Anolis sagrei: one gene and its partners. The protein of the gene in region 4 interacts with the protein of the main gene of each other region in a biochemical or structural test. Links are inferred from orthologs where the notes say so. Each region holds a gene or a part of one and is shown on either strand. Other genes may lie near its edges. The genes, in order: TLN1, GRB10, LRRK1 and RET.

Region 1 (6,951 bases), on a different chromosome or scaffold from region 4:
TCCTGTCATCACAAGGGTTTAATGCATCGTGCCACCAAGGGACAATAATAATAATAATAATAATAATAATAATAATAACAATATAAAAACTTTATTTCTATCCCACCCTATCTTCCCAATGGGGAATCAGAGGGGTTCACAACACACAGCAGCAACTATTTATCTGTATTTTAAATTTTATGGTGTATTTTTATGGCATTGAATGGTTGCCTTTTATGTTGTAAGTCACCTCTAGTACCCATGAGGAGATGGGGTGGTGGTATATAAATAAAGTTCAATTGATTGATTGATTGAACCGTTCTGAGTTCCCATTCGGGAGATAAGATGGGATAGAAATAAAATTTTATTATTATTATATTTTAAATTATATACTAATGGTTTCATGTCAAGCTGCTTTGAGTCCCCTTTGGGGAGATAAAGCGGGTTATAAATAATAATAATAATAATAATAATAATAAATGAAAAGTCGACAATGACAGATCCCAAATGTAGACTCTGCAAGGAAGCAGATGAAACAATAGATCCCATCCTCAGATGCTGCAAGAAGATCGCGCAGACAGACTCCAAGCAGAGGCGCAACACCCTTGCTCAGATGATCCATTGGAACTTGTGCCACAAACACCATCTGCCAGCGACAAGAACTGGTGGGATCACAAGCCAGAAAAAGTAACAGAGAATGAACACGTCAAGCTACTCTGGGACTTCCAAATTCAGAGTTTTGGAGCACAAGACTCCTGACCTCATGATCATATTAAAAAATGAAGTATGGATCGTTGATGTTGCAATCCCAGGCGACAGCAAGATTGAAGAGAAGCAACTGGAAAAGCTGTCATGCTACGAGGATTTCAAGATCGAACTGCAAAGACTCTGGCACAAACCAGTCAAGGGGGTCCCAGTGGTGATTGGCACACTGGGTGCAGTGCCTCAAGACCTTGGCCTGCACTTAAACACAATCGGCGCTGAGAAAATCACCACCGGTCAGCTGCAAAAGGCCACCTTACTGGGATCTGCATGCATTATTTGCCAAGACATCACACAGTCCTAGACCCTTGGGAAGTGTCCGATGTGTGATCCAATACAACAACCAGCAGAGTGATCTTGTCTGCTGTGGACTCATCTTGTTGTGTTTCTAATAATAATAATAATAATAATAATAAATGGAAAAGCTGACACGATATGAGGATTTAAAGATTGAACTTTACATGGAGATTTCATCTGAACATGAGGAAGAACTTCCTGACTGTGAGAGCCGTTCAGCAGTGGAACTCTCTGCCCCGGAGTGTGGTGGAGGCTCCTTCTTTGGAAGCTTTGAAACAGAGGCTGGATGGCCATCTGTCAGGGGTGCTTTGAATGCAATATTCCTGTTTCTTGGCAGAATGGGGTTGGACTGGATGGCCCAGGTCTCTTCCAACTCTTGGATTCTATGAACTGCAAAGACTCTGGCACAAGCCAGTCAAGGGGTTCCCAGTGGTGATTGGCACGCTGGGTGCAGTTCCTCAAGACCTTGGCGTGCACTTAAACACAATTGGTGCTGACAAAATTATCACCTGCCAGATGCAAAAGGCCACCTTATTGGGATATGCACACATTATTCGCCGATACATCACACAGTCCTAGACACCTGGGAAGTGTCCGACGTGTGATCCACTACAACAGCCAGCAGAGTGTCTGCTGTGGACTCATCTTGTTGTGTTTCAAATAATAATAATAATAGAAAGTGTCCCAGAACCATGATTTTAATTTTTTTCTAAAGGTCATAAGGCAGCAGATCTTACCTCCTTTGGGAGTTTGTTCCATAATAATATTAATTATTATTATTATTATTATTATTATTATTACTATTATACAAAGTGCCCCCATTCTTTCACGAGTCCCCCTGGGGAGGTAGTGTGGGCTCCAAATAAAGTTTATTACTATTATTATTATTATTATTTGAAACAGAAATTATTATTATTATTATTATTATTATTATAGAAAGTGCCCCCATTCTATTCTTTCATGAGTCCCCCTGGGGAGGTAGGGTGGGCTAGAAAGTTTATTATTATTATTATTTGAAACACAAATTATTATTATTATTATTATTATTATTGTTATTATTATTGTTATTATATGAGTCCCCCTGGGGGGGCTACAAATAAAGTTTTTTAAATTATTATTATTATTATTATTATAAACACAAATTATTATTATTATTATTATTATTATTATTCTAGAAAGTGCCCCCATTCTTTCATGAGTCCCCCTGGGGAGGTAGGGTGGGCTACAAATAAAGATTATTATTATTATTATTATTATTATTATTTGAAACACAAACTATTATTATTATTATTATTTGAAACACAAATTATTATTATTATTATTATTATTATTATACATTCTTTCATAAGTCCACCTGGGGAGGTAGGGTGGGCTAGAAATGAAGATTATTATTATTATTATTATTATTTGAAACAGAAACTATTATTATTATTACTATTATTATTATACATTCTGTCATAAGTCCACCTGGGGAGGTAGGGTGGGCTACAAATAAACTTTATTATTATTATTATTGTTTGAAACACACATTATTATTATTACTATTATTACTGAGTTTATTCCAAAAAGTTTCTGCTAGTTGCTTAAGTGGCTGGGAGGGGGGGGGGGGAGGAAAGGGCTTGAGTCTGTGAGGAATTCTGGGAGTTGTAGTCCCAAACACTTGAAGGGAAGGCCCAAGTGGGCCCAGGCCTGCCTGAAAGCCCCAGCCTGACTTTAGTGACCCCTGAATGGCTCTTTGGACCCCCCAAAGCCCCCCCCCCCTCAGAGAGGGACCCCCGCCCCCTCCTCACCCCAAAGAGAGAGGCACCCCCAACCCCAAAATAGGCCTGAGGACGCCCCCCAAAGCCCCCCTCCCCTCCCCTCCTCCCCTCCCCTCCTCCCTTCCTACCTGGGGACTCTCTCTCTCTCTCTTGAGGCGTCGGCTTTGGCTCTGGCCGAAGGGGCGTGGCCAGCGCAGCCTCTCCCTCAAGCCCCGCCTCCTGGCGCCCCGCCTCCCTCCCTCCCTGCCCCGCGCATGCCCAGAGCCTCCCGCCGCCTCCCTCCCGCCATCTTGGGAGAGGCCCGCCTCCTCGCCGCCATGCTGGGGGGGGCGGCGGGCAGACCACAGCGCCATCTTGTTTGCGGGTGGGGGAAAAGGGGAAGGAAACGGCCGCCCCCTAGAGGGACTTTTGGGGTACTGCAACATGTATTTATTTAGCAACAGCTTTTAAAGGGGAAAAAAAAGAGGAAAAGGAAAAAGGAAAATATTATTATGATTAAATATTGTATTTGTTATATCATATTATTAATTTATTATTTTCTTACATTACATTATTATAATTATTAAATATTTATGTTATCTATATATATATATATATATATATATTAGGGCTGGGCGGTTTCGTTCGTTAATTTCGTAATTCGTTATTAATTCATATTTAAATTAGCTTACGATCCGATATTGAGCCATGCAGGAGTAATTAAAAATCGAAACGATTTTTTCAATTTGTTTCGTAATTGTTTCATAATAGTTTCGAAATTGTTTTGAAATTGTTTCGTAATTATTTTCGCATTTTTCAGCATATTTTTAGCATATTTGGAGGGGTTTTTTTTGCATATTGCGCAATTGCGTCCGCCATTAACTAATCAATCTGAAATTTACGAAATTTCATAAATTTCGAATTTTTTTAAAGAAAAATTTCGGAATTCTTTTAAAAATCGAAACGCAAAAAAACCCTAAAAACGAAACGAGTTTAGAAACAAATTTTTCCGTTGTTACCCAGCCTTAATATATATATATGATCTGGCCACAGTGGTCCACGCTCTTGTTACATCCCCCCCCCCCCCGAATAGACTACTGCAATACACTCTACATGGGGTTGCCATTGAAGACTGTTCGGAAACTTCAACTGGTCCAGCGAGCGGCAGCCAGATTGCTCACCAAAGCGACATACAGGGAGCACACCACCCCCCTGCTGTGTCAGCTCCACTCACAAAATTTTTTCATGCCATCATGTCATCACGGCGCCTCCATGATGACATGATGGCAACAGTTTTGGCACTGCAATGGCTCCCAAAGTGACCCATTTAAGGTGGAATCGGGTGTCAAACAGGGATGATGTGTTATTGCCCCAACTTTATTCTCCATCTTCATTGCTATAATACTTCACCTTGTTGATGGGAAGCTTCCCACCCGAGTGGAAATCATCTCTCAGACAGATGGCAAGCTATTCAACCTCAGCAGACTGAAAGCCAAAACCAAGGTTACAACAACATCTGCTATAGAACTCCAGTATGCTGATGACAACGTCGTCTGTGCGCATTCAGAAGAAGACCTACAAGCCACTCTAAACACCTTCGCAGAAACTTATAAGAAGCTCGGCCTGTCACTGAACATCGAGAAAACCAAAGTGCTCTTCAATCAGTCACCAGCCATCCCCTCCCCAATGCCAGAGATACAGATTAATGGTGTAACATTAGAAAATGTGGACCATTTCCGCTCCCTTGGCAGCCACCTCTCCACCAAAGTCAACATCGACGCCTAAATACAACACCGCCTGAGCTCTGCGAGTGCAGCATTTTCCCGAATTAAGCAGAAAGTGTTTGAGGACCGGGACATCCGTAGGGAGACCAAGGGGCTTGTCTATAAAACTATTGTCCTCCCAACCCTGCTATATGCCTGCGAAAGGTGGACAGTCTACAGATGTCAACATTGACACTAAAATGCAACACCACCTGAGCTCTGCGAGTGCAGCATTTTTCCGAGTGAAGCAGAGAGTGTTTGGGGACTTGGATATACATAGGGATACCAAGGGGCTTGTTTATAAAGCTACTGTGCTCCCAACCCTGCTCTATGCCTGCGAAACGTGGACTGTCTACAGGCGTCACATGCAACTCCTGGAACGATTCCATCAGTGCTGCCTCCGGAAAATCCTGCAAATCTCTTGGGAAGACAGGCAGACAAATGTCGTGCTGGAAGAAGCAAAGACCACCAGCATTGATGCGATGATCCTCCGCCATCAGCTCCGCTGGACTGGCCACGTTGTCTGGATGCCCGACCACCATCTCCCAAAGCAGTTGCTCTATTCCGAACTCAAGAACGGAAAACGGAATGTTGGAGGGCAGGAAAAGAGATTGAAAGATGGGCTCAAAGCCAACCTTAAAAACTCTGGCATAGACACATAGAACTGGGAAGCCCTGGCCTTTGAGAGCTCCAGCTGGAGGTCAGCTGTGACTAGCAGTGCTGCAGAATTTGAAGAGGCACGAATGGAGGGCGGAAGGGAGAAATGTGCCAAGAGGAAGGCACGTCAAGCCAACCCTGACCGGGACCGCCTTCCACCCGGAAACCAATGGCCTCACTGCGGGAGATGATGCAGGTCAAGAATAGGGCTCCACAGCCACCTACAGACTCACAAGAGTTCTGATCCTGGAAGACTATCTTACTCGGCCAACGAGGGATCGCCTAAGTAAGTAAGTAAGTAATACATCTCTAAAGCAGTCCAGGGCTAACATGCACTCGGCCAAAGGTCCTGCCGAGTTTCCTAATCTTTTCTCGGCTATTTCCCAATGCATCCCAATGTCATCCCTTTGCGCTGTTTTGCAGTAATGCAAAGCCATTAAAATAATGATATGACCTCTAGTAGGACTTTTGAAACGGACTGTCTTAAGAGACAGTCCTGGCACCCAGGGTGACAGTAGTGGGCTCTGGAGGATCTTCTGAAGATCTGCTATATCTGTTGTGCATTGGCACATCTTTGTACCTGAGGTCAACGAACCCAGAACTCTGACTTGCAGCAGAGAGTTCCACAGTTCTCTATCGTCTGCTTGGGCCAACTTCTATGGAACGTGGCCACAGCAGCAGCTACAATCAAGAAACCTTCTTTTTGCTTCACTTTCTTCCCCTTCCTAACATTGTATCAAATACCCCAATAAAGTACTTACTTACTTAGGCGATCCCTCGTTGGACGAGTAAGATGGTCTTCCATTCTGGATTTCCTTGTGGGTCCGTATGTGGCTGTGGAGCCCTATTCTTGCTCTGCATCTTCTTCCGTAGTGAAGGCATTGGTTTCCAGGTGGAAGGCGGTCCCGGTCGGGGTTGGCTTGACGCGCCTTTTTCCTCCTGGCACGTTTCTCTCTTTCACCCTCCATTCGTGCCTCCTCAAATTCTGCAGCACTGCTGGTCACAGCTGTCCTCCAGTTGGAGCGCTCAAGGGCCAGGGCTTCCCAGTTCTCAGTGTCTAAGCCAGAGTTTTTGAGGTTGGCTTTGAGCCCATCTTTCAATCTCTTTTCCTGCCCACCAACATTCCGTTTTCCGTTCTTGAGTTCGGAGTAGAGCAACTGCTTTGGGAGACGGTGGTCAGGCATCCGGACAACGTGGCCGGCCCAGCGGAGTTGATGGCAGAAGACCATCGTTTCAGTGCTGGTGGTCTTTGCTTCTTCCAGCACACTGACGTTTGTCCGCTTGTCTTCCCAAGACATTTGCAGGATTTTCCGGAGGCAGCGCTGATGGAATCGTTCCAGGAATTGCATGTGACGTCTGTAGACAGTCCACGTTTCGCAGGCATAGAGCAGGGTTGGGAAGACAATGGCTTTATAGACAAGCACCTTGGTCTCCCTACGGATGTCCCGGTCCTCAAACACTCTCTGCTTCATTCGGGAAAATGCTGCACTCGCAGAGCTCAGGCAGTGTTGTATTTCGGTGTCAATGTTGACTTTGGTGAAGAGGTGGCTGCCAAGGTAGCGGAAATGGTCAACATTTTCTAATGTTACACCATTAAGCTGTATCTCTGGCATTGGAGAGAGGTTGGCTGGCGACTGCTGGAAAAGCACCTTGGTTTTCTCAATGTTCAGTGACAGGCTGAGAAAACCCAATAAAGTATCACTTAATAGTAAATTTTTCTCTTCCTAGTATTACTTTGTGTCTTTTACTGCCTC
Region 2 (7,302 bases), on a different chromosome or scaffold from region 4:
TGGACTGGATGGCCCATGAGGTCTCTTCCAACTCTAGGATTCTATGACAGATGGCCATCCAGCCTCTGTTTAAAAGCTTCCAAAGAAGGAGCCTCCACCACACTCTGGGGCCAAGGCATGTAGCCGGGGGGGGGGGGTGTTTGAGGGGCTTTAGCCGCCCCCCCCCCCCAAATTCTCATGGTGGCCCTCGAGAAGGCCTTACTGGTGCATTATTTAAACTGTTATGTTTATTCATATCACGATCTGATCACCATGCTCAATATGGGGGTATTGGTGTTACAATACAAAAGGTTTGCTAGGGTAGACCCTCTTTCACTCAGACTCAGCCCCCCCCCTCCCCGAATCAAAATCCTGGCTACAGGCCTCCCTGGGGCAGAGACAGGCCCGTAGCCAGGAGCTGAGTTTGATTCAAAGGGGGGGGGGGGGGACTGAGTCTGAGTGAAAGAGGGTCTTTACAAAAGGTTTGCTAGGGTAGACCCTCTTTCACTCAGACTCGCCCCCCCCCCCCCCGAATCAAGCTCAGCTCCCCCCGAAACATAATCCTGGCTACGGGACTGCCTCTGCCCCAGACAGGCCCGTAGCCAGGATTTTGATTCGGGGGGGGGGGGGGGAGTTTGATTCGTGGCAGGGGGCTGAGTCTGAGTGAAAGAGGGTCTACCCTAGCAAACCTTTTGTATTGCTACTCCAATAACCCCATGCATATGGGATATATTGAGCATGGTGATCAGATCATGATATGAATAACATAACAGTTTAAATCAGTGGTTCTCAACCTGGGGGTCAGGACCCCTGGAGGGGTCACGAGGGGGTTTTAAAAGGGTCGCCAAAGACCATCAGAAAGCACAACATTTTCTGTTAGTCATGGGGGTCCTGTGTGGGAAGTTTCACCCAATTCTATCATTGGTGCAGTTCATAATTCTCTGATTGTAGGTGAACTATAAATCCCAGCAACTACAACTCCCAAATGGCAAACTCTATTTTCACCAAACTCCACCAGTGTTCATATTTGGGCATACTGAGTATTCATGCCAAGTTTGGTCCAGATCCATCATTGTTTGAGTCCACAGTGCTCTCTGGATGTAGGTGAACTACAACTCCCAAACTCAAGGTCAATGCCCACCAAACCCTTCCAGTATTTTCTGTTGGTCATGGGAGTTCTGTGTGCCAAGTCTGCTTCAATTCCATCGTTGGTGGAGTTCGGAATGCTCTTTGATTGTAGGTGAACTATAAACTACAACTCCCAAATGACAAAATTAATCCCCCCAACCCCACCAGTATTCAAATTTGATCCAGTGATGAAAATACATCCTGCATATCAGATATTTACATAATAACAGTAGCAAAGTTGCAGATATGAAGTAGCAATAACAATAATTTTTTGCTTGGGGGCCACCACAACATGTGGAACTGTATTAAGGGGTCGTGACATTAAGAAGGTTGAGAATCACTGGTTTAAATAATGTACCAGTAAGGCCTTCTTGCGGACCACCATGAGATTTTCGGCTACATGCCCGGCTACATGCCTGGGCAGAGAGTTCCACAGATGAACGGCTCTCAGTCAGGAATAAATGTTAACCTGCACTGGTCATCTTCACTTCAGGCAGTGTATGCAAAATACACAGAAAGAGTGAAAAGAAGAGACTGGGCTGCTCTCTCTTTAAGTGGAAGGACCAAAGGATGCAACAAGTAGAAATCAGCATGTAACAAGTGGGAGAATTCAGAAACAGGGGCTCGAAGGAGACACAGACACCAAAGCGAAGGCAGAAGGAATCAACAGCTGTCACAGGACCAGAAAGAAGAAGATTCCTCCCTCAAAGCAACCAGTGGTTCCTTTTTTCCCTGCACTCTTGGAGGGAAGGTGGCCAATCCTCCTCGGGGGTGATCAAAGCAGCCCAGGCCTTGCCTCAGAGTTTGCCCTGGCTCTTCCAGCCCCGCACGCTGGAAAGTTTTGCAAAGCATTCCTCACTCTTTTGGGGGAAGACGCCACCAGCACAATGGGAGCGAGACCAAGCAGACCCACCTTGGCATCGCCTTTACAAAGTTGAAAGAACAGCTATACGAGGCGTGCATTGCATTACCGGGTGGGTGCAGAAGTCCTGGCTCCGTCCTTCCTCCTTAAATCCGGGGAAGTGCCCACATTCGATTCCCCCCTCCCCTCACCTCCCCTCAGTACACGCGCGCGCGCCGCATTCCCTCCCTTCAGGAGAAAGGCGAAAGGGAGCGCGCGCCCGCCACCGCCGCCCCTGATTGGCAGAGCCGGGCAAGCCCCTCAGAGCTCGTTGCTTAAGGCCAGGGGCGGAGGGGGAGGGGAGGGGGAGGAAGGGAGAGAGGAGGAGGAGGAGGAAAAAGGCTGGCTCCACCCTGGTTTATGATGCAATGTGGAGAGGGCACCCAAGCTCCGGCCGGGAAGGGAAGTTTGCACGCCCCTCACGAAGCGCAAGGGAAGGGAAAGGAAGGGGGGCAAGTTGAGAACCACCCTTTCCCCGAGCGCGCGCACACACACACACTCTCTCTCTTTGCTCCCGAGAAGGCACGCGCCTGGCGTCCTCTCGCGAGCCGCAGAAACAACTCCCAAAGTTCGTCCCGTGCGAACTGCGCGCGAGGAGGGAAAGGGCCACGACGCCCTGCGCGCGCGCGCCCCTCCTGCTTCCTGTCAAGCCCCTCCGCGACGGGTGACTTACCTGCAAAGTCAGTCAGAGAGTGATTGAGGGAGTGAGCGGCGCGCTCGGCTCCCGCTCCTCCTCCTCCTCGTGGCCTCCCTTTCCGCCTGCACCTCCCTCTCCTGAGCTGATTAAGTTTCTCGCAGCCTGGACTTGGCAGCGCGAGGGGAAGGAAGGGCGCCTGCCCTCTCCGGGAACTCTTTCCTGGGGAAACGAAGGGGAAGGAGACGGAGGGAACCGTCTGGTCTGGCGCCCCTCCTCAAGGAAGGTTCCGCCTGGGAAGCCTCGCGCCAGCTGACTCGCCCACCCCTCTCTCCCTCTCTCTCGCTCCCTCTCTCTCCTCAGGCGATGGCCCCTCCCCCTCCGGGGCGCGCTAGCCCCGCCCACGGTCCCTCCCTCTCTCCCTCTGCCGCTCGCGCACGCAGTCGCAGCTCGCGCCGGAGCCGAGGCCAAGTTTGGCTCGGGATTCAGGCTCGCTCGGGAAGTCCCTCAGACGTCGGGAAAAGAGGGCCTGGGTCCCTCAAGGGGCATGGCGGAGTGGCTTCTGAGGAAATATGCCTCTTTCCAACTTTCCCCGCCCCTTTTCCGCCAGGGGAAATGTCTACACCGCCCTAGCTCTATACCTCAATACAACACCGCCTGAGCTCTGCGAGTGCAGCATTTTCCGAATGAAGCAGAGAGTATTATCGAAGGCTTTCATGGCCGGAATCATTGGGTTGTTGTAGGTTTTTTCGGGCTGTATGGCCATGGTCTAGAGGCATTCTCTCCTGACGTTTCGCCTGCATCTATGGCAAGCATCCTCAGAGGTAGTGAGGTCTGTTGGAAATAGGAAAATGGGTTTATATATCTGTGGCATGACCAGGGAGAGACAAAGAACTCTTGTTTGCTGGAGCTAAGTGTGAATGTTTCAACTGACCACCTTGATTAGCCTTTGATGGCCTGGCAGTGCCTGGAGCAATCTTTTGTTGAGAGGTGATTAGATGTCCTTGTTTGAAGTAGAGCTGCTAGAACAAGAACAAGTCACGAGAATAAAGACGAAGATCCACCCACAGGAAAAGTGTTCCTGCCATACATCAAGGGAACCACTGACTGCATAGGGCACCCAAATACCTGGGAGTCACCCTGGATCGTGCTCTTACCTACAAGAAGCACTGCCTGAACATCAAGCAAAAAGTGGGTGCCAAAAACAATATCATACGAAAGCTGACTGGCACAACCTGGGGATCACAACCAGATACAGTGAAGACATCTGCCCTTGCGCTGTGCTAGTCTGCTGCTGAGTATGCATGCCCAGTGTGGAACACATCTCACTATGCTAAAACAGTGGATGTGGCTCCTAATTAGTACTTCTCTAACTACCTTTGATGTAGAAGCCCTCGTTACATGGCCAATGATTAATAAATCAGGGAGTTGATATCCAAAATGTCTCTTATCAGAAGTAAGGAAAGGGTTACGTCAGCGTGCAGAAGAAGTAAAGACCACCAGCACTGAAGCAAGCGTCTGGAGAACAAGCCCATGAGGAGAGGCTTAAGGAGCTGAGCATATTTAGCCTGAAGAAGAGAAGACTGAGAGGAGATATGATAGCCATGTATAAATATGTGAGAGGAAGCCACAGGGAGGAGGGAGCAAACTTGTTTTCTGCTTCCCTGGAGACTAGGACGCGGAACAATGGCTTCAAACTACAAGAGAGGAGATTCCATCTGAACACGAGGAAGAACTTCCTGACTGTGAGAGCCATTCAGCAGTGGAACTCTCTGCCCCGGAGGGTGGTGGAGGCGCCTTCTTTGGAAGCTTTTAAACAGAGGCTGGATGGCCATCTGTCGGGGGTGAATTGAATGCAATATTCCTGCTTCTTGGCAGGGGGTTGAACTGGATGGCCCATGAGATCTCTTCCAACTCTTTGATTCTATGATGGTCCTCCAGGAACAGCCCTCCCCTTGGCTGAGAGGCTGGCCAATCACAGCTTTTGGTGGGTGAATTCGCTGTCTGTTTCCAAAAAGGAAGAGAAGAACAGGCAGAGAGTTCTTCAGCCTTCTCTGCCAAAGATTCCTAAGACCATCAGAAATATGTTTTCTTATGATCTCTGATGACCCTTCTGAAACCCCCTCGCAACCTCTGCAGGGGTCCCAGGTTGAGAAACACTGTTTTAGAAAAGAGCCAAAAACTCATTTGAGTAGAATCCTCTCAAATGGAATGCAACCAAAGGTAATATGCAAGGTGATTGGCTTCAGTTATTAGACTGAGTGACCTTTGTCTCTGATCTGATAGGAAACAGAGAATATGCCGGTGCATTAAAATAGCAGTTCTTCCAAAGGGTCTACTCTCCCATAAACAACTTGTTTTATAGTATGCATACTAGAGACACATTAAAGTAGACTTTGGTAAAAAAATAATAATAATAACATCTGGTTTAATCACAACCTTCATTTGTTCAGCATACACAATTTATCAGTCAGTTACAGATATGTTTGAGATAGTTTCTGTCCGATCCGGTCAGAACACCTCTCATAATAATCCACAAGCATTTGCAAGTATGCAATCTGAGCAGTCCAAAACTCTAAAGAAGTCTGTGCTCGGCCCAGAGTGGATCATGTGGTCTGCAGCCCCTCCCACAACTTCTCAGGAAAAACATAGAGCAAAGAAAGAAAGCTGCATAGCAGAACATACATCCAATGAGGAAGCAACAGGATTGTAGATGATCAATTTACTAGAGGAGGTTTTAAGAAGGTTGTAATTTCCAACACGGCTAAATAATTTTAGACCAAAAACAGGCAACAGCTACTGCATTATCTGTGGTTTTAAACAGTTCTTCCTTTGTGCATGAGGCAGGGCATTGTGGACTAACATAGGCAGAGGCGACCCTAGGTAATTTTCAACGGTAAGCAAACAGTATTTTGGTGCCCCCCCCCCCCAACCAATCACTGGTATATATATATATATATATATATATATATTCTGTTCGTTGTGGGAGTTCTGTGTGCCATATTTGGTTCAATTCCATCATCGATGGAGTTCAGAATGCTCTTTGATTGTAGGTAAACTATACATCCCAGTTCTGTTAGAAATGTAATATAATTTGACTGGTTCTGTTAGAAATGTTATATAATTTGACTGGTTGTTCTGACACGACAAATAAATATACATCCCAGTAACTACAACTCGCATATGTCAAGATCTATTCCCCCCCCCCCCCCCAAGAGCGCCTCAAGAGCTCCCCTGGGCAAAATCAACTATACTGCAAATGCTTACTTTGCGTAATGGGTTGAGCCGCCCCTGCATATAGGTGCTGAGTTGTTTGTCCTGCTCCTCGAATCACACAAGGTGGAGGATTCTTCTAGGTTGTGCCATTTAGCCATGTTGTCTTTTGATCTGCCCACTCCACTTCTGAGTCTGTTCAGGGACTTCCGACTTGTCCATTCTTGGTTTGCCCCTGGAGGAAGACCCTCGTGGGGGGCCACCTAACTGGAATAGCCTGTTGCTGGAGGAACATTAGGACGAGTAGTGGTTCTCCTGAAACTTTTTCTTGATTTGAGCCTACTGGGAGGAGGCTGAGAGCCATGCAGTGGATGGCTTTCACAGTGTTCAACCTTATTTCTCTCATAGTTGGCAACAACTTCCCATAGCACATCCGGGGGGGGGGGGGGGGCAATGCTAGCTAGCTTATAGAGCAGGCATGGGCAAACTTCAGTCCTCCAGGTGTTTTGGACTTCAACTCACACAATTCAAAACTGTAGGAGGTGAAGTCCAAAACACTTGGAGGAGGGCCAAAGTTTGCTCATGCCTGGTACATATAAATGAAACCTTTACTGATCATAAATCATAGATTTCTTTCCAAACAATTGCATATCATTTTTACTCTGTGTCAAAGGCAAAAGCCAATTTGCATACCAATGAGATGGATACATATGAAATCTTGGCAGAATATTTGATCCTGCAGCATGGAAGACAACTTCCAACATTTTTCATGCCTGGCTTATAGCTTCAAGTTGGCACGACTCTATTTTTTTCTCCTTGATTCATGTAAATTCCTAAAATAACCACTAGTTGGCAGGCTGCACAGATTTCTCACAAGTTTCCACTCACAATCACTCGCTTGATTATCAAGCAAAAAGTGTGTGATACAGATAATATCATACAAAAGCTGACTGACACAGCCTGGGGATCACAACCAGTTACAGTGAAGACATCTGCTTTTGCTACTTTGCTGCCCAGTGTGGAATACATTCCACCGTGTTAAAACAGTGGATGTGGCTCTTAATGAGATATGCCACATTATCATAGGATGTCTCCTAAACCGCTGGAGAAATTATACTGTTTAGCTGGTATTGCACCACCTGATATCCCCCAGGAAGTAGCAACCAGTAATGAAAAGACCAAGGCATTGTCAGCTTCGGCCCATCCTCTGTTCAGATATCAGCCAGCATGCTAACGTCTTAAATCAAGAAACAGCTTCTTAAGATCTACAGAGATGCTCGAAGGAACACCTCAGCAAGCGAGAGTCCAAAAGTGGCAGGCTGAAACCCAGAACTTCAATCAGTGGCTGATACCGAATGAGAAACACCCTCCTGGGCACACAGAAGACTGGGTGACTTGGAAGGCACTGAACAGACTGCGCTCTGGGAACACAAGATGCAGAGCCAAC
Region 3 (6,938 bases), on a different chromosome or scaffold from region 4:
CTTGGACTGCGAGAAGATCCAACCAGTCCATCCTCCAGGAAATAAAGCCTGGCTGCTCACTGGAGGGAAGGAGACTAGAGACAAAGTTGAAGGAGGAGACAGCAAAGCCTAGAGAAGACAATGATGCTGGGGAAAGTGGAAGGTAAAAGGAAGAGGGGCCGACCAAGGGCAAGATGGATGGATGGCATCCTTGAAGTGACTGGACTGACCTTGAAGGAGCTGGGGGTGGTGACGGCCGACAGGGAGCTCTGGCGTGGGCTGGTCCATGAGGTCACAAAGAGTCGGAGACGACTGAACGAATGAACAACAACAACATACAGGATAAAACACATACATACAAATATTAATAAATTAACATGAGTCAAATGCTCTAGTAAAAAGCCAGGTCTTAAGTGATAGGATAAAATGCCCTAAGTGACGCATGGCTCTCATATAGGGTGGCAAGGAATTCCATAAGGCAGGGGCAGAAATGGAGAAAGCCCATCTGCGTCTGGTGCTTTCCAAATGCACTTCTCTAGGACCCGGTATATAGAGCAAATCGCGTTGAGATTGTCGTAGCAACCTCCAATGATGGGAGAAGGAGAGACGGTCTCTAAGATACAATGGACCCTGGCCATATAAGGTTTTAAAGGTCAGGACCAGCATCTTATACAAACCATGATAATCAATTGGAAGCCAATGTAGATGCCGCAGCACTGGAGTTATATGACATTTCAAAGGCATTTTTGTGATTAACCTGGCCTCAGCATTCTGTACAATATGGAGCTTTCGGGTCGTAGACATCGGAAGGCCAACATATAAGGCGTTGCAATAGTCCAGCTTAGATGTGACCGTGGCATGGACGACTGTTGCCAGCGCCTCATCCGATAGGTAAGGTAACAATTGCCTCGCTTGTCGTAGATGGAAAAAGGCCTGTTTGCTGGCAGCAGCGGCCTGAGTTTCCATTGTCAACTGCGAATCCAAAACGACACCTAGGCTTGTCGAAGGCTTTCATGGCTGGAATAACTCAGTTCTTGTGGGGTTTTTTCGGGCTATATGGCCATGTTCTAGAGGCATATAGCCATATAGCCCGAAAAAACCCACAAGAACTGACACCTAGGCTCTTAACGGTAGGCGGAGATAGAGCAGCACCATCAAAGGTGGATAGCAAATGGGTCAGACCTATCGAGCGGCCATGCCAGAGAATCTCAGTCTTTGCCGGGTTCACCTTCAGCCTACTAGCACGTAGCCAGTTCGACAGAGCCTCCAGACATAAGGTGAAATTGTCTGGTATTGTCGTTGCTCCCGGCTCCAAGCGCAACAGGAGTTGGGTGTCATCCGCATATTGATAGCAGTCCAAGCCAAATCTCCAAGCCAAACTGGCAAGGAGTCTAACGTAGATGTTGAAAAGAAGAGGGGAGAGAACTGCACCTTGGGGTACCCCGCATTCATAGAATCAAAGAGTTGGAAGAGACCTCATGGGCCATCCAGTCCAACCCCCTGCCAAGAAGCAGGAATATTGCATTCAAATCACCCCTGACAAATGGCCATCCAGCCTCTGCTTAAAAGCTTCCAAAGAAGGAGCCTCCACCACACTCCGGGGCAGAGAGTTCCACTGCTGTACGGCTCTCACAGTCAGGAAGTTCTTCCTAATGTTCAGATGGAAGGGGGGAACTTTGGAGGGGGGAACTTTTGGAGACTTGATCCATATATTCCATGCACTGACTCCGGTTAATGAGACATGCTGCATTATCATGGGGTGTCTGCGCCCTACACCACTGGAGAAATTACACTGTTTAGCTGGTATCGCACCACCTGACATCCGCCGGGAAGTAGCAGCAAATAGTGAAAGGACCAAGGCTGTGACATCTCCAGCTCTTCCCTTGTTTGGGTATCAGTCAGCACGTCAATGACTTAAATCAAGAAATATCTTTCTAAGATCTACAGAGACACTCGCTGGAACACCTCAGCAAGCGAGAGTCCAAAAGTGGCAGGCTCAAACCCAGAACCTCAACCAATGGCTGATACCAAATGAGAGACTCCCCCCTGGGCACACAGAAGACTGGGCGACTTGGAAGGCGCTGAACAGACTGCGCTCTGGCATCACGAGATGCAGAGCCAAACTCAAGAAATGGGGCCACAAAGTTGAATCCTCGACATGCGAGTGTGGAGAAGAGCAAACCACTGACCACCTGCTGCAATGCAACCTGAGCCCTGCCACATGCACTATGGAGGACCTCCTTGTGGCAACACCAGAGGCACTCCAAGTGGCCAGATACTGGTCAAAGGACATTTAATCAACTACCAAGCTTGCAAACTTTGTGTTTTGTTTTGTTTGATTGTTAAAAAATGGACACAGCATATTATTTGAGAACACAGAAATGCTGGACCACTCTCACAACCACCCTGTCAGACTGCACAGAGAAGCCGTTGAAATCCACTAGAAGCATGTGGACAATTTCAACAGAAAGGAGGAAACCATGAAAATGAACAAAATCTGGCTACCAGTATTAAAAAAAAACTCTAAAATTACAACAGCAAAACAACAGAGGGAAAACAATCAGGGACAGCTAATCACCTCTCAACAAAAGATTGCTCCAGGCACTGCCAGGCCATCAAATGCTAATCAAGGTGGTCAGTTGAAACATTCACACCTAGCTCCAGCAGACAAGAGTCTTTTGTCCCACCCTGGTCATTCCACAGATATATAAACCCATTGTCCTAGTTCCAACAGACTTCACTACCTCTGAGAATGCTTGCCATAGATGCAGGCGAAACGTCAGGAGAGAATGCCTCTAGAACATGGCCATATAGCTCGAAAAAACCTACAACAACCTAGTACAGGGGAAGTTTGCAAACTTTGCAACACTGTATCCTTAATGCTCACCCCGCCAGGACCGGGAAAAGTGGCTTTTCTGGGAGTTTTCTTTCCCTCCGCTCCCGGGTTCCAGGTGCGGTTGGTTGTCTTCGGAGGAAAGGAGGAGGAAAAAAGAAGGAGGAAGGAAAGAAGGAAGGAAGGACGAAAGAAAGAAAGAAAGGGGTGGCCCAAGCAAAGCGGAAGAGCCGGCTCGAGCGCTCCCTCTGGAGGCCAGAAGCGGAATCGCGGCGCTCGTGGCTCAGAAGCTGCTGCTAGTAGTGCTTCCTCTCCTTTGGACGAATTCTAATCTCCTTTTCCTTCTTCCTGCTTCCTTCCCCTTCTCCACCTCCACTGTTACTACTTCTCTCTCTTCCCTATTAGTACCGTTTCCCGCACTACTATTATGTACTATCTCTCTTCTTTGCCTTTCACTACTACTACTTAGAATCATAAAATCATAAAGTTGGAAGAGACCTCATGGGCCATCCAGTCCAACCCTATTCTACCAAGAAGCAGGAATATTGCATTCAAATCACCCCTGACAGATGACCATCCAGATATATTCCACACTGGGCATGCGTATTCAGCAGCAGAGTAGCCAAACAAAAGGGCAGATGCCTTCACTGTGTCTGGTTGTGACCCCCAGGTTGTTCCCATCAGCTTTCATATGATATTCTTTCCAGCATAGAATCCTAGAGTTGGAAGAGACCTCATGGGCCATCGAGTCCAACCCTATTCTGCCAAGAAGCAGGAATATTGCATTCAAAGCACCCCTGACAGATGGCCATCCAGCCTCTGTTTAAAAGCCTCCGAAGAAGGAGCCTCCACCACACTCCAGGGCAGAGAGTTCCACTGCTGAGCGGCTCTCACAGTCAGGAAGTTCTTCCTCATGTTCAGATGGAATCTCCTCTCTTGTAGTTTGAAGCCATTGTTCCGTGTCCTAGTCTCCAGGGAAGCAGAAAACAAGCTTGCTCCCTCCTCCCTGTGGCTTCCTCTCACATATTTATACATGGCTATCATATCTCCTCTCAGCCTTCTCTTCTTCAGGCTAAACATGCCCAGCTCCTTAAGCCGCTCCTCATAGGGCTTGTTCTCTAGACCCTTGATCATTATAGTTGCCCTCCTCTGGACACATTCCAGCTTGTCAATATCTCTCTTGAATTGTGGTGCCCAGAATTGGATACAATATTCCAGGTGTGGTCTAACCAAGGCGGAATAGAGGGGTAGCATGACTTCCCTGGATCTAGACACTATGCTCCTATTGATGCAGGCCAAAATCCCATTGGCTTTTTTTGCCACCACATCACATTGTTGGCTCATGTTTAACTTGCTGTCCAAAAAGACTCCAAGATCTTTTTCACACGTACTGCTCTCGAGCCAGGCATCGTCCCCTATTCTGTATCTTTGCATTTCGTTTTTCCTGCCTAAGTGGAGTATCTTGCATTTGTCCCTGTTGAACTTCATTTTGTTAGTTTTGGGCATTCATCTCTCTAATCTGTCAAGATCGTTTTGAATCCTGCTCCTGTCCTCTGGAGTATTGGCTATCCCTCCCAATTTGGTGTCGTTTGCAAACTTGATGATCCTGCCTTCTAACCCTTCATCTAAGTCATTAACAAAGATGTTGAACAGGACCGGGCCCAGAACAGAACCTTGCTTATGGCACTCCACTTGTCACTTCTTTCCAGGATGAAGAGGAAGCATTGGGGAGAATCACCCCCTGGGTTCGTCCACTTAACCAATTTCAGATCCACCTCACCGTAGTTTTGCCTAGCCCACATTGGACTAGTTTCCTTGCCAGAAGGTCATGGGGGACCTTGTCGAAGGCCTTCCTGAAATCCAGGTACTTGCGTTTCTTCTTCCTGTCTCTCAACCCCTCCTTGTTCTTTCCTTTCCACCAAAAGTACTATTACAGTACTAGTTCTTCCAACTTCTTTAATCACTGCTACTTGTTCTTCTGTCTCTTCATCTTTTTCTACTACTAGTAGTAACGACTTCTTTCTCCTGCTCCCCTACTACTACCTAATCTTCCTCCTTTCCTTCCTCCAGTACTACTATTTCTCCTCTTCTTCTTTATCCCCTCCTCCCTTACTACTACTATTCTTATTCTTTTTCTTCTTTCTTCTCTGCCATGATGAATGTGTCTTCATCTTCCTGCACTACTAGTAGGTTCTACCTCTCATCTTTTGCCTTCCGCTACTAGCTTTTTCCTCTTCCTGTCTCTCATTGTCTTTTTCTTTCCACCAAGCGTACTACTACTTCTTCCACCTCTTTCTCCTCCTCTACTTTGCCTTCTGCCTCCTCATCCTTTTCTACTACTACTAGTACTACCTCCTTTGCTACTACTTGTTCTTCCTCCTGCTCCCCTACTACTGCTACCTGGTCTTCCTCCTTTCCCTCCTCCAATAACTACTGTTTCTCCTCTAGTTCCTTATCCCCTTTCTCCCTTACTACTGCTCTCATTTCTTTTCTTCCTCCTCCTCTATGACTAATACATGTTCCTTTTCCTGTATTACTAGTAGGTACTAACTCCTATTTGTTCTTCCACATCTTTCTCCTCTACTACTACTTATTCTTCTGTCTTTTAATTCTTTTCGTCTACTACTGCTTTTTCTTTCCAAAGAAGTCTCAAAGTGGCTACTACTAGTAGTACTAACTCCTTTGCTACTACTTGTTTTTTCTCTTGTTCCCTACTACTTCTGCCTGGTCTTTTTTCTTTTCTTCCTCCAGTACTGCTACTATTTCTCCTCCTCCTCCTCTTCACCCCCCTCCTCCACTACTTCTAGTTGTTCTTCCTTCTGTTCTTCCTTGTCCATTACTGCATTTACTCAAGTCCAATATAGCATCAAATCTAATGCACACCTCAATTTCCAAAACCCTGAAACCCAAAACAGGATCCATCATATTCCACGAATCTAACGTGCACCCTAATTTTGGGAAGGTAATTTAGTCCAAAAAAGGTGAGCATTCGAATGGAGTAAATGCAGTATTTCTCCTCCTTCTCTTCTTTATTCTCTTTGTCTGCTACTACTTCCTTTTCATGGCATAAAAATGGGGAAAGCCTGTTGCGAATGCCTCTGGAAATGTCATAAAGACAGTTTCGGGTTTTCCCCAAAATTACACTTAAACCTCCTTTGAAATGAGACCTGGACAGACACATCCTGTTTTTTGTTATTATTATTATTTCAAGGGCTGCAAAAACAGAACAGGAACTGGTTGCAAAGTAATCAGACTAGGACACGGAACAATGGCTTCAAACTACAAGAAATAAGAGTCCATCTGAACATGAGGAAGAACTTCCTGACTGTGAGAGCCATTCAGCAGTGGAACTCTCTGCCCCGGAGTGTGGTGGAGGCTCCTTCTTTGGAAGCTTTTAAACAGGGGCTGGATGGCCATCTGTCAGGGGTGATTTGAATGCAATATTCCTGCTTCTTGGCAGGGGGTTGGACTGGATGGCCCATGAGGTCTCTTCCAACTCTTTGATTCTATGATTCTAAACCCTTGTGCCAACAGAAGTGAAGACTGACAGGTCATAGGTTCGAATCCGAGGAGAGCGTGGATGAGCTCCTTCTGTCAGCTCCAGCTCCCCATGTGGGAACATGAGATAGCCTCCCATAAGGATGGTAAAACATCAAAACATCCAGGCAATGTCCCCTAGGCAACGTCCTTGCAGACGGCCAATTCCCTCATACGAGTAGCGACTTTCGGTTTCTCAAATCGCTTCTGACACACACAAAAAAATCCCACTGAACATAGAATCATAGAATCAAAGAGTTGGAAGAGACCTCATGGGCCATCCAGTCCAACCCCCTGCCAAGAAGCAGGAATATTGCATTCAAATCACCCCTGACAGATGGCCATCCAGTCTCTGCTTAAAAGCCTCCAAAGAAGGAGCCTCCACCACACTCCAGGGCAGAGAGTTCCACTGCTGAACGGCTCTCACAGTCAGGAAGTTCTTCCTCATGTTCAGATGGAATCTCCTCTCTTGTAGTTTGAAGCCATTGTTCCGCGTCCTAGTCTCCAGGGAAGCAGAAAACAAGCTTGCTCCCTCATCCCTGTGGCTTCCTCTCACATATTTATACATGGCTATCATATCCCCTCTCAG
Region 4 (7,825 bases):
GAGGGCTTTGATTACATTTTCTTGCCCTGGTGAAGAGAGTTGGACTGGATGGCCTTAAGTATTTTCTGTTGTTCATGGGGATTCTGTGTGGGAAGTTTGCCCAGATTCTGTCGTTTGTGGGGTTCAGAATGCTCTTTGATTGCAGGTGAATTATAAATCCCAGTAACTACAATTCCCAAATGTCAAGGTCTATTTCCCCAAACTCCATCTGTGTTGATATTTTTTATTTATTTATTTATTTACTATATTTGTATTCCGCTCTTGTCAGCCCTCAGGGCGACTCAGAGCTGTTAACAAAGCAAGTACAATACTTAAACATGATAAAAAACAGTTAAAAACAAGCTAAAAGAATAACATTATAACAATCAATAAACATTATAACATCTCATCTCGTCTCATAGTTAAAATCAAGATCCAGTCTCATCATCCAAATGTTCCATATTTCTATATTAGTTACACTGCCTATTCAAATGCCTGCTCAAACAACCAGGTCTTCACTTTCCTCAAAAATGTGAACAAGGAGGGGGCCGATCTAATTTCTGTGGGAAGGGTGTTCCACAGCCATATTTGGGCATATGGAATATTTGTGCCAAGTTTGGTCCACATCCATCATTGTTTGACTCCACAGTACTCTCTGGATGTAGGTGAACTACAACTCCCAAACTCAAGGTCAATGCCCACCTAACCCTTCTAGTCTTTTCTGTTGCTCATGGGAGTCCTGTGTGTCACCTTTGGTTCAATTCCGTCATTGGTGGAGTTCAGAATATTTTGATTGTAGGTAAACTATAAATCCCAAGAACTACAACTCCCAAATGACAAAATAAAAAAAAATGAGTGAAGGACATACATTGGGTTGTTAGGTGTATGCTGTCCAAATTTGGTGCCAATTAGCCCACTGGTTTTTGAGTTATGTTAATCCCACAAACGAACATTGCATTTTTATTTATATACTAGCCGTCCCCTGCCACGCGTTGCTGTGGCCCACTCTGGTAGTCATTGGGGTTTTGTGTGGGAAGTTTGGCCCAATTCTATCGTTGGTGGGGTCAGAATGCTCTGTGATTGTAGGTGAACTACAAATCCCAGCAACTACAACTCCCAAATGTCAAGTTTCTATTTTTCCCAAACTCCACCAGTGTTCACATTTGGGCATATTGAGTATTCATGTAGAGTTTGGTCCAGATCATCGCCTTGAGCATTCTCGGATGGAGGGCGATTAATAAGTTATTAGATGATGTAGAGGATGATGATGATGATGATTGTTTGAGTCCACAGTACTCTCTAGATGTAGGTGAATTACAATTCCAAAACCAAAGGACACTGCTCACCAAACCCAGAATGCTCTTTGATTGTAGGTGGACTATAAATCCCAGCAACTACAACTCCCAAATCATTTTTTTTAGTGAAGGACATACATTGGGTTGTTAGGTGTCTTGTGTCCAAATTTGGTGCCAATTCGCCCACTTGTTTTTGAGTTATGTTAATCCCACAAACGAACATTACATTTTTATTTATACAGGTAGATAGATAGATAAACCTCACTTGCTTAGTTTCCAACAGATCCCTCAACCTCTGCCATGGGGGGGGGGGGGTGAGTTTTTTTCAGAGGGGGTTCGGGGGGGGGGGGGGCTGGGGTTCGGGGGGGGGCTGAGTCTGAGTGAAAGAGGGTCTACCTTAGCAAACGTTTTGTGTAGTTACCCCAATACCCCAATGCATATGGGATATATTGAGCATGGTGATCAGATCAAGATATGAATAAACATAACAGTTTAAATAATGCACCAATAAGGCCTTTTCTCGAACCACCATGAGAATTTCGGGGGCGGGGGGGGGGGGGGCTGAAGCCCTCCAAGCTCCCCCCCCCCCCCCCCGCTACATGCCTGTGCTCACCAAACCCAGAATGCTCTTTGATTTTAGGTGAACTATAAATCCCAGCAACTACAACTCCCAAATCTTTTTTTTTTTTTTTGGTGAAGGACATACATTGGGTTGTTAGGTGTCTTGTGTCCAAATTTGGTGCCAATTCGCCCACTGGTTTTTGAGTTATGTTAATCCCACAAACATTACATTTTTATTTATTTAGATAGATAGATAGATTAGATAAGCCTCACTTGCTTAGTTTCCAACAGATCCCCCAACCTCTGCCATAGATGTGGGCAAAACGTCAGAAGATAATGCTTCTGGAACATGGCCAGACAGCCAGGAAAACTCACATAACATTGTAATCGAACCACTTCCGGCTTACAAATTCAACCTAGAGCGCCGATCTTGTTCGTAAGTAGCGGACAGGCTCTTGGGTTTGCACTTTGAGGTTTGCTCCCCATCCAAGAACGTCGAAGACCACAAACAAGCCAAGAGGAAGGGGAACCTTTTTGTGTGCGCTCGTTTAAGCAGGTGTTTGGCTGCTGAGCCCCAGAAATCGTGGGGAGGGGCATGGCAAGGAGACGACCCAAGAGAGGGATGAACCTCAGGCCTCTCTCTCTCTCCTTCTGTGAGCCACTTACCCTGACACAGCAGGGCCACCACCCCGAGGGCCCATCGGGCGGGCGGCATCCTTTCCCTCCACGCGATAATCCCAGGGATTCCCCTTCGAAGCTCCTCTCCAAAGTGGGAACGGGTCCCCGAGTCCGCGCGCGTGCCAGAGAGAGATTGCCTGTCCCTCAGGCCGGGCGCCTCATGGCTTCGCGTCGCAAGAGAAACGCCAATCAGTCCGTCTCGGCGCGAGACAAGGCGCCCGGCGGAGAAGCGCTTTCGTCGCGTTCTGGAGAAGAAAGAGGGAGGAAACAAGGTCCGACGCGAGCGCTTCTTCTTCTTCTCCGCCACCAGAAGCACTTTTCCCGCCCCGAAACAAACAAGAGGCGTCGAGGATGCTCCTCTGTCGCCGCCGCCTCGGTCCCAATGAGCTCTTCTTCGGCTGCTGAGGGCGCTCTCCCGGCAGCCAATGGGCAACTTGCGCCCCGCCGCTGTAGTTAATGAGTAAAGTGCAGCACGCGCTCAAGAAAGCGGGGAGGAGGAGAGGAAGAGGAGGAGGGCGCGCGAGGCTTGGAAAAAGGAGTGGAGCCACTGCCAGTACGAGTGCAGCGCGCGCGGCAGGGAGCAGGAAGGAGGGGAGGGCTCGCGCCAGGCCCCCTCCTCTGAATTGCAGCAGGGAAGTCCCAAGCGCGCGCACCTTCCAGGATGTGGACACCTACATACAGGGTCAACGCTGATGGGTGAAAGAGGCCCTTCGGATTTTGCATGGGCCATCTCTATGCCGCAGGGCGGTGTTGCCCAAGCTTGGGTCATGAGGCCCTTCCACACAGCCATTCGACCCAGACTGGGCATCGAATCGTTGCCCCTAATGTCGTAAATCTTCTATATAAATAAAAATATAATGTTCGTTTGTGGGATTAACAGAACTCAAAAACCACTGGACGAATTGACAACAAATTTGAACACAAGGCACCTAACAACCCAATGTATGCCCTTCATTCAAAAAAAATTGATTTTGTCATTTGGGAGTTGTAGTTGCTGGAATTTATAGTTCAGCTACAATCAAAGAGCATTCTGAACCCCACCAACTATGGAATTGAACCAAACATGGCACACGGTTCTCCCACGGCCAACAGAAAATACTGGAAGGGATTGGTGGGCAGTGTCCTTTGGTTTTGGAGTTGTAGCTCACCTACATCCAGAGATCACTGTGCACTGATTATCAACCTTAAATTATGGATCTGGACCAAACTTGCCTTGAATACTCCATATGCCCAAATGTGAATGCTGGTTGAATTCGGGGAAAATAGAATCTTGACATTTGGGAGTTGCAGTTGCTGGGATTTATAGTTTACCTACAATCAAAGAGCATTCTGAACCCCACCAACAATAGATTGGGCCAAACCTCCCACACAGAACCCCCATGACCACCAGAATGGGCCACAGCAATGTGTGGCAGGGGTCGGCTAGTATATAAATAAAAATGTAATGTTTGTTTGTGGGATTAACATAACTAAAAAACCACTGGGTGAATTGCCACCAAATTTGGAAACAATATACCTACTATCCCAAGGAGTGACCATCACTCAAAACAATGGATTTTGACTTTTAGGATTTGTAGTTGCTGGGATTTATAGTTCACCTACAATCAAAGAGCATTCTGAACTCCATCAACAGAATTGGGGCAAATTTCCCGCAGAGAACCCCTATGACCAACAGGAAATACTTAAGGCCATCCAATCCAACTTCCTTCATCAGGGCAAGAAAGGGTAATCAAAGTCCTCCTGACAAAGAGCCATCCAGCCATAGATATAGATAGATAGATAGATGATAGATATGATCAACACACATAGAGATATAGTATCATAGATTTGAAAGGGACCCTTAAAGAAGGACAATGATATGTTGCATGTTCCAGGGTGGACAAACCAGACACTCTCCACATCAACACTGACAAAGAAACAGCAAGAAATACTGTTTATTCACAAGCATAAAGAAATTACATATATTAGAAACCAACACTTTCTCATTACTTTATTTTCCAGATCAACAGACTGGGCCACAGCAATGCATGGCAGGGGATGGCTAGTAAATAATAAATAAATAATACTAAGGCAGAGAATCCCATAAAATCTGTCTTGAACTGGGTTGTCTGGGGCCCCTTCCACACAGCTGAATAAAATCCCATATTATCTCCTTTCAGTTGGGATATGCAGCAGTGTGGACTCAGATAACCCAGTTCAATGCAGATATTGTGGAATTGTCTACCTTGACATCTTGTGTTACATGATTGTGTGAAAGTGCCCTGAGTCCACACTGCTGTGTAACTCAATTCAAAGCAGATAATATGGGATTTTACACAGCTGTGTGAAGGGACCCTTGGAATCTGGAGAATTCCAGCCCTAGGGTCAGGAAAACAAGCCCTATGAGGAGCGGTTTAAGGAGCTGGCCATGTTTAGCCTGAAGAAGGGAAGGCTGAGAAGAGATATGATAGCCATGTATAAATATGTGAGAGGAAGGCACAGGGAGGAGAGAGCAAGCTTGTTTTCTGCTTCCCTGGAGACTAGGACGCGGAACAATGGCTTCAAACTACAAGAAAGGAGATTCCACCTGAACATGAGGAAGAACTTCTTGACCGTGAGAGCCGTTCAGCAGTGGAACTCTCTGCCCCGGAGTGTGGTGGAGGCTCTGTCTTTGGAAGCCTTTAAACAGAGACTGGATGGCCATCTGTCAGGGGTGATTTGAATGCAATATTCCTGCTTCTTGGCAGGGGGTTGGACTGGATGGCCCATGAGGTCTCCTCCAACTCTTTGCTTCTTTGATTCAATGATTCAATGAATCATATAATCCAGAATCTCATGGCCGATAATCCACAGCAGGGGTCCTCAAACTTTTTAAACAGAGGGCCAGGTCACAGTCCCTCAAACTGTTGGAGGGCCGGATTATAATTTGAAAAAAACATGAATTAATTTCTATGCACACTGTACATATCTTATTTGTAGCACAAAAGACACTTTAAAACAATACAATAATTAAAACGAAGAGCAATTTTAACAAATATAAACTTATTTGTATTTCAATGAGAAGTGTGGGCCTGCTTTTGGTTGATGAGATAGAATTGTTGTTGTTGTTGTTGTTGTTGTTGTTGTTGTTGTGTGCTTTCAAGTCATTTCAGACTTAGGTTGACCCTGAGCAAGGGACAGGTAAATGACCTTGGAGGGCCGCATCCGGCCCCCGGGCCTTAGTTTGAGGATCCCTGATCCACAGTATTGGTTTGAACTGGGTTATCTAAGGGCCCTTCCACATGGGAATCTGTGGCCTTTGGGGGGTATTTAGGTACTAGCCGCCCCCTTCTCTGCCTGCCTTTGACAGTGAAAAGAAGACGCTGAAGGCGAGGCAAGCTGCTTGGCCGGCACCCAAAGTATCCTTCGACGTGAGATGCCTCTCGCTTAGGAGCACAATATTTGAACCACAAATGAGGATGGAAAAAACTTGGAGCAACCCATATGCTTTCCCAGCAAGCCATCAATACCCGGCTAAAAGCCTCTCAGCTCAAGACGCATGCGGAAGGGAAGCTTTTTCACGCCGCAGACGCTTCCCCTTCTTGAGCACAACAAGCTTCCCAACACCAGCCCACAAAGCATCGGTCCCACTGGGAGAAGGTTTTTTTTAATTAGGATTATTACTTTGCAAGAAAGAGTTTGATGAACTTTCTGCGTTGGGGGTCCCAGCACTGCAGCTCAGAGTCACACAACACAAAGCCAAAACTTGTAGCTCAAGGGGGAGAGGGAAGCATTTCCAACAGACATACACTTATATACTGCAATTGAATTCCTAAACTGCAAGCAAGCAACTCCTGTGAATTGATGGGTGCATGAATGCATTGATAGGGATATATATATATATATATATATATATATATCTCCCCATATCTATATATCTCCCCATATCTATATCTATCTATATATATACATAATATATACACACACACACATACCCCCAGGAGTTGCTTGCTTGTAGTTTATTTATTTATTTATATTTATTTCGGGCACTTCTACCCCGCCCTTCTCAACCTCCTGGGGGGGGGGGGGACGGGACTCAGGGCGGCTTACAACTGGCACAATTCGATGCCAACAGTTCAACAGATAAAATACATAACAACAATAACCACAATAGTTAAAACACTCAATTAATACAATAACAACTAAAAAGCCAATCTAGTGGCCAACGTTCACCAAGTTCTAAAATCTGTAAGTCCATTCAGCATTACCATAGTCCTTTCCAAGTTCTGGTCGTCATTACCTTGTCAGTGTGCCAGATTACCCAAAAGCCTGGTCCCATATCCATGTTTCAGCTTCCTTCTGAAGGAGAAGAGGGATGTTGAGGACCTAATTTCCCCAGGGAGTGAGTTCCACAGGCGAGGGGCCACCACTGAGAAGGTCCTGTCCCTCGTCTCTACCAGCCTCACTGGTGATAGAGGCGGGGCCAAGAGCAGGGTCTCCCCAGAAGATCTTAAACTCCGAGGTGGGACATAGAAGGAGATACGTTCGGACAGGTACGCTGGGCCGGAGCCATATAGGGTTTTATAGGTCAAAACCAGCACTTTGAATTGTGCTCGGAAGTGGATCGGCAGCCAGTGGAGCTGACACAACAGAGGGGTGGTATGTTCCCTGTATGACGCTCCGGTGATTAATCTAGCTGCCGCCTGTTGAAGTTTCTGAACAGTTTTCAAAGGCAACCCCACGTAGAGCGCATTGCAGTAATCTATTCGGGATGTAACAAGAGCGTGGACCACTGTGGCCAGATCAGACTTCCCAAGGTAGGGGTGCAACTGGCGCACAAATTTAGCTATTCAACCTGCTATCTCATTGCTTTCATTCAGAAATATGCATGGTTCTTCCCCCCCCCCCCCCCCGCCCCATCTGTGCATCTACACTGTCCATTTAATGCAGTTTGCTGCCACTTGAACTGCCCTGGCTGAATTCAATGGAATTCTGTGAGTTGTAGTTCTCTGCCAAAGAGTGCAACATCCATGTCTTTCTAACCCAGGGGTCCTTAAACTATGGCCCGGGGGCCGGATATGGCTCTCCAAGGTCATTAACCCTGCCCTCACTCAGGGTCTGAAATGACTTGAAAGTACCCAACAGCAACAACAATCCTATCTCATCAGACAAAATCAGGCCCACACTTCCTATTGAAATACTAATAAGTTTATATTTGTTAAAATTGTTCTTCATTTTAATTAATGTGTTGTTTTTAAGTGTTGTTTTTTTTTTTTTTGCACTACAATTAAGATGTGTGCAGTGTGCATAGGAATTCATTCATATATTTTTTTCAAATTATAATCCGGCCCTCC

What was found.
Region 1: the proteins of RET (region 4) and TLN1 interact in a surface display test, tested with the Homo sapiens proteins (2 studies listed by BioGRID and IntAct, with this or other methods). The link is inferred for Anolis sagrei from reciprocal best matches to the Homo sapiens genes RET and TLN1.
Region 2: the proteins of RET (region 4) and GRB10 form a complex in vitro, tested with the Homo sapiens proteins (2 studies listed by BioGRID). The link is inferred for Anolis sagrei from reciprocal best matches to the Homo sapiens genes RET and GRB10.
Region 3: the proteins of RET (region 4) and LRRK1 form a complex in vitro, tested with the Homo sapiens proteins (2 studies listed by BioGRID and IntAct, with this or other methods). The link is inferred for Anolis sagrei from reciprocal best matches to the Homo sapiens genes RET and LRRK1.

The regions. Positions count from the first base shown.
Region 1 is NC_090022.1:302,405,522-302,412,472, reverse strand, and holds the start of TLN1 (talin-1), read right to left. Parts: upstream 3,015-6,951; 5' UTR 2,927-3,014; intron 1-2,926. UniProt on the Homo sapiens protein: High molecular weight cytoskeletal protein concentrated at regions of cell-matrix and cell-cell contacts. Involved in connections of major cytoskeletal structures to the plasma membrane.
Region 2 is NC_090026.1:61,950,786-61,958,087, reverse strand, and holds the start of GRB10 (growth factor receptor-bound protein 10), read right to left. Parts: upstream 3,006-7,302; 5' UTR 2,682-3,005; intron 2,132-2,681; exon of another isoform or gene 2,021-2,131; intron 1-2,020.
Region 3 is NC_090029.1:13,127,595-13,134,532, forward strand, and holds the start of LRRK1 (leucine-rich repeat serine/threonine-protein kinase 1), read right to left. Parts: upstream 3,023-6,938; 5' UTR 2,867-3,022; intron 1-2,866.
Region 4 is NC_090023.1:154,104,451-154,112,275, reverse strand, and holds the start of RET (proto-oncogene tyrosine-protein kinase receptor Ret), read right to left. Parts: upstream 3,015-7,825; 5' UTR 2,551-3,014; coding exon 2,502-2,550; intron 1-2,501. UniProt on the Homo sapiens protein: Receptor tyrosine-protein kinase involved in numerous cellular mechanisms including cell proliferation, neuronal navigation, cell migration, and cell differentiation in response to glia cell line-derived growth family factors (GDNF, NRTN, ARTN, PSPN and GDF15).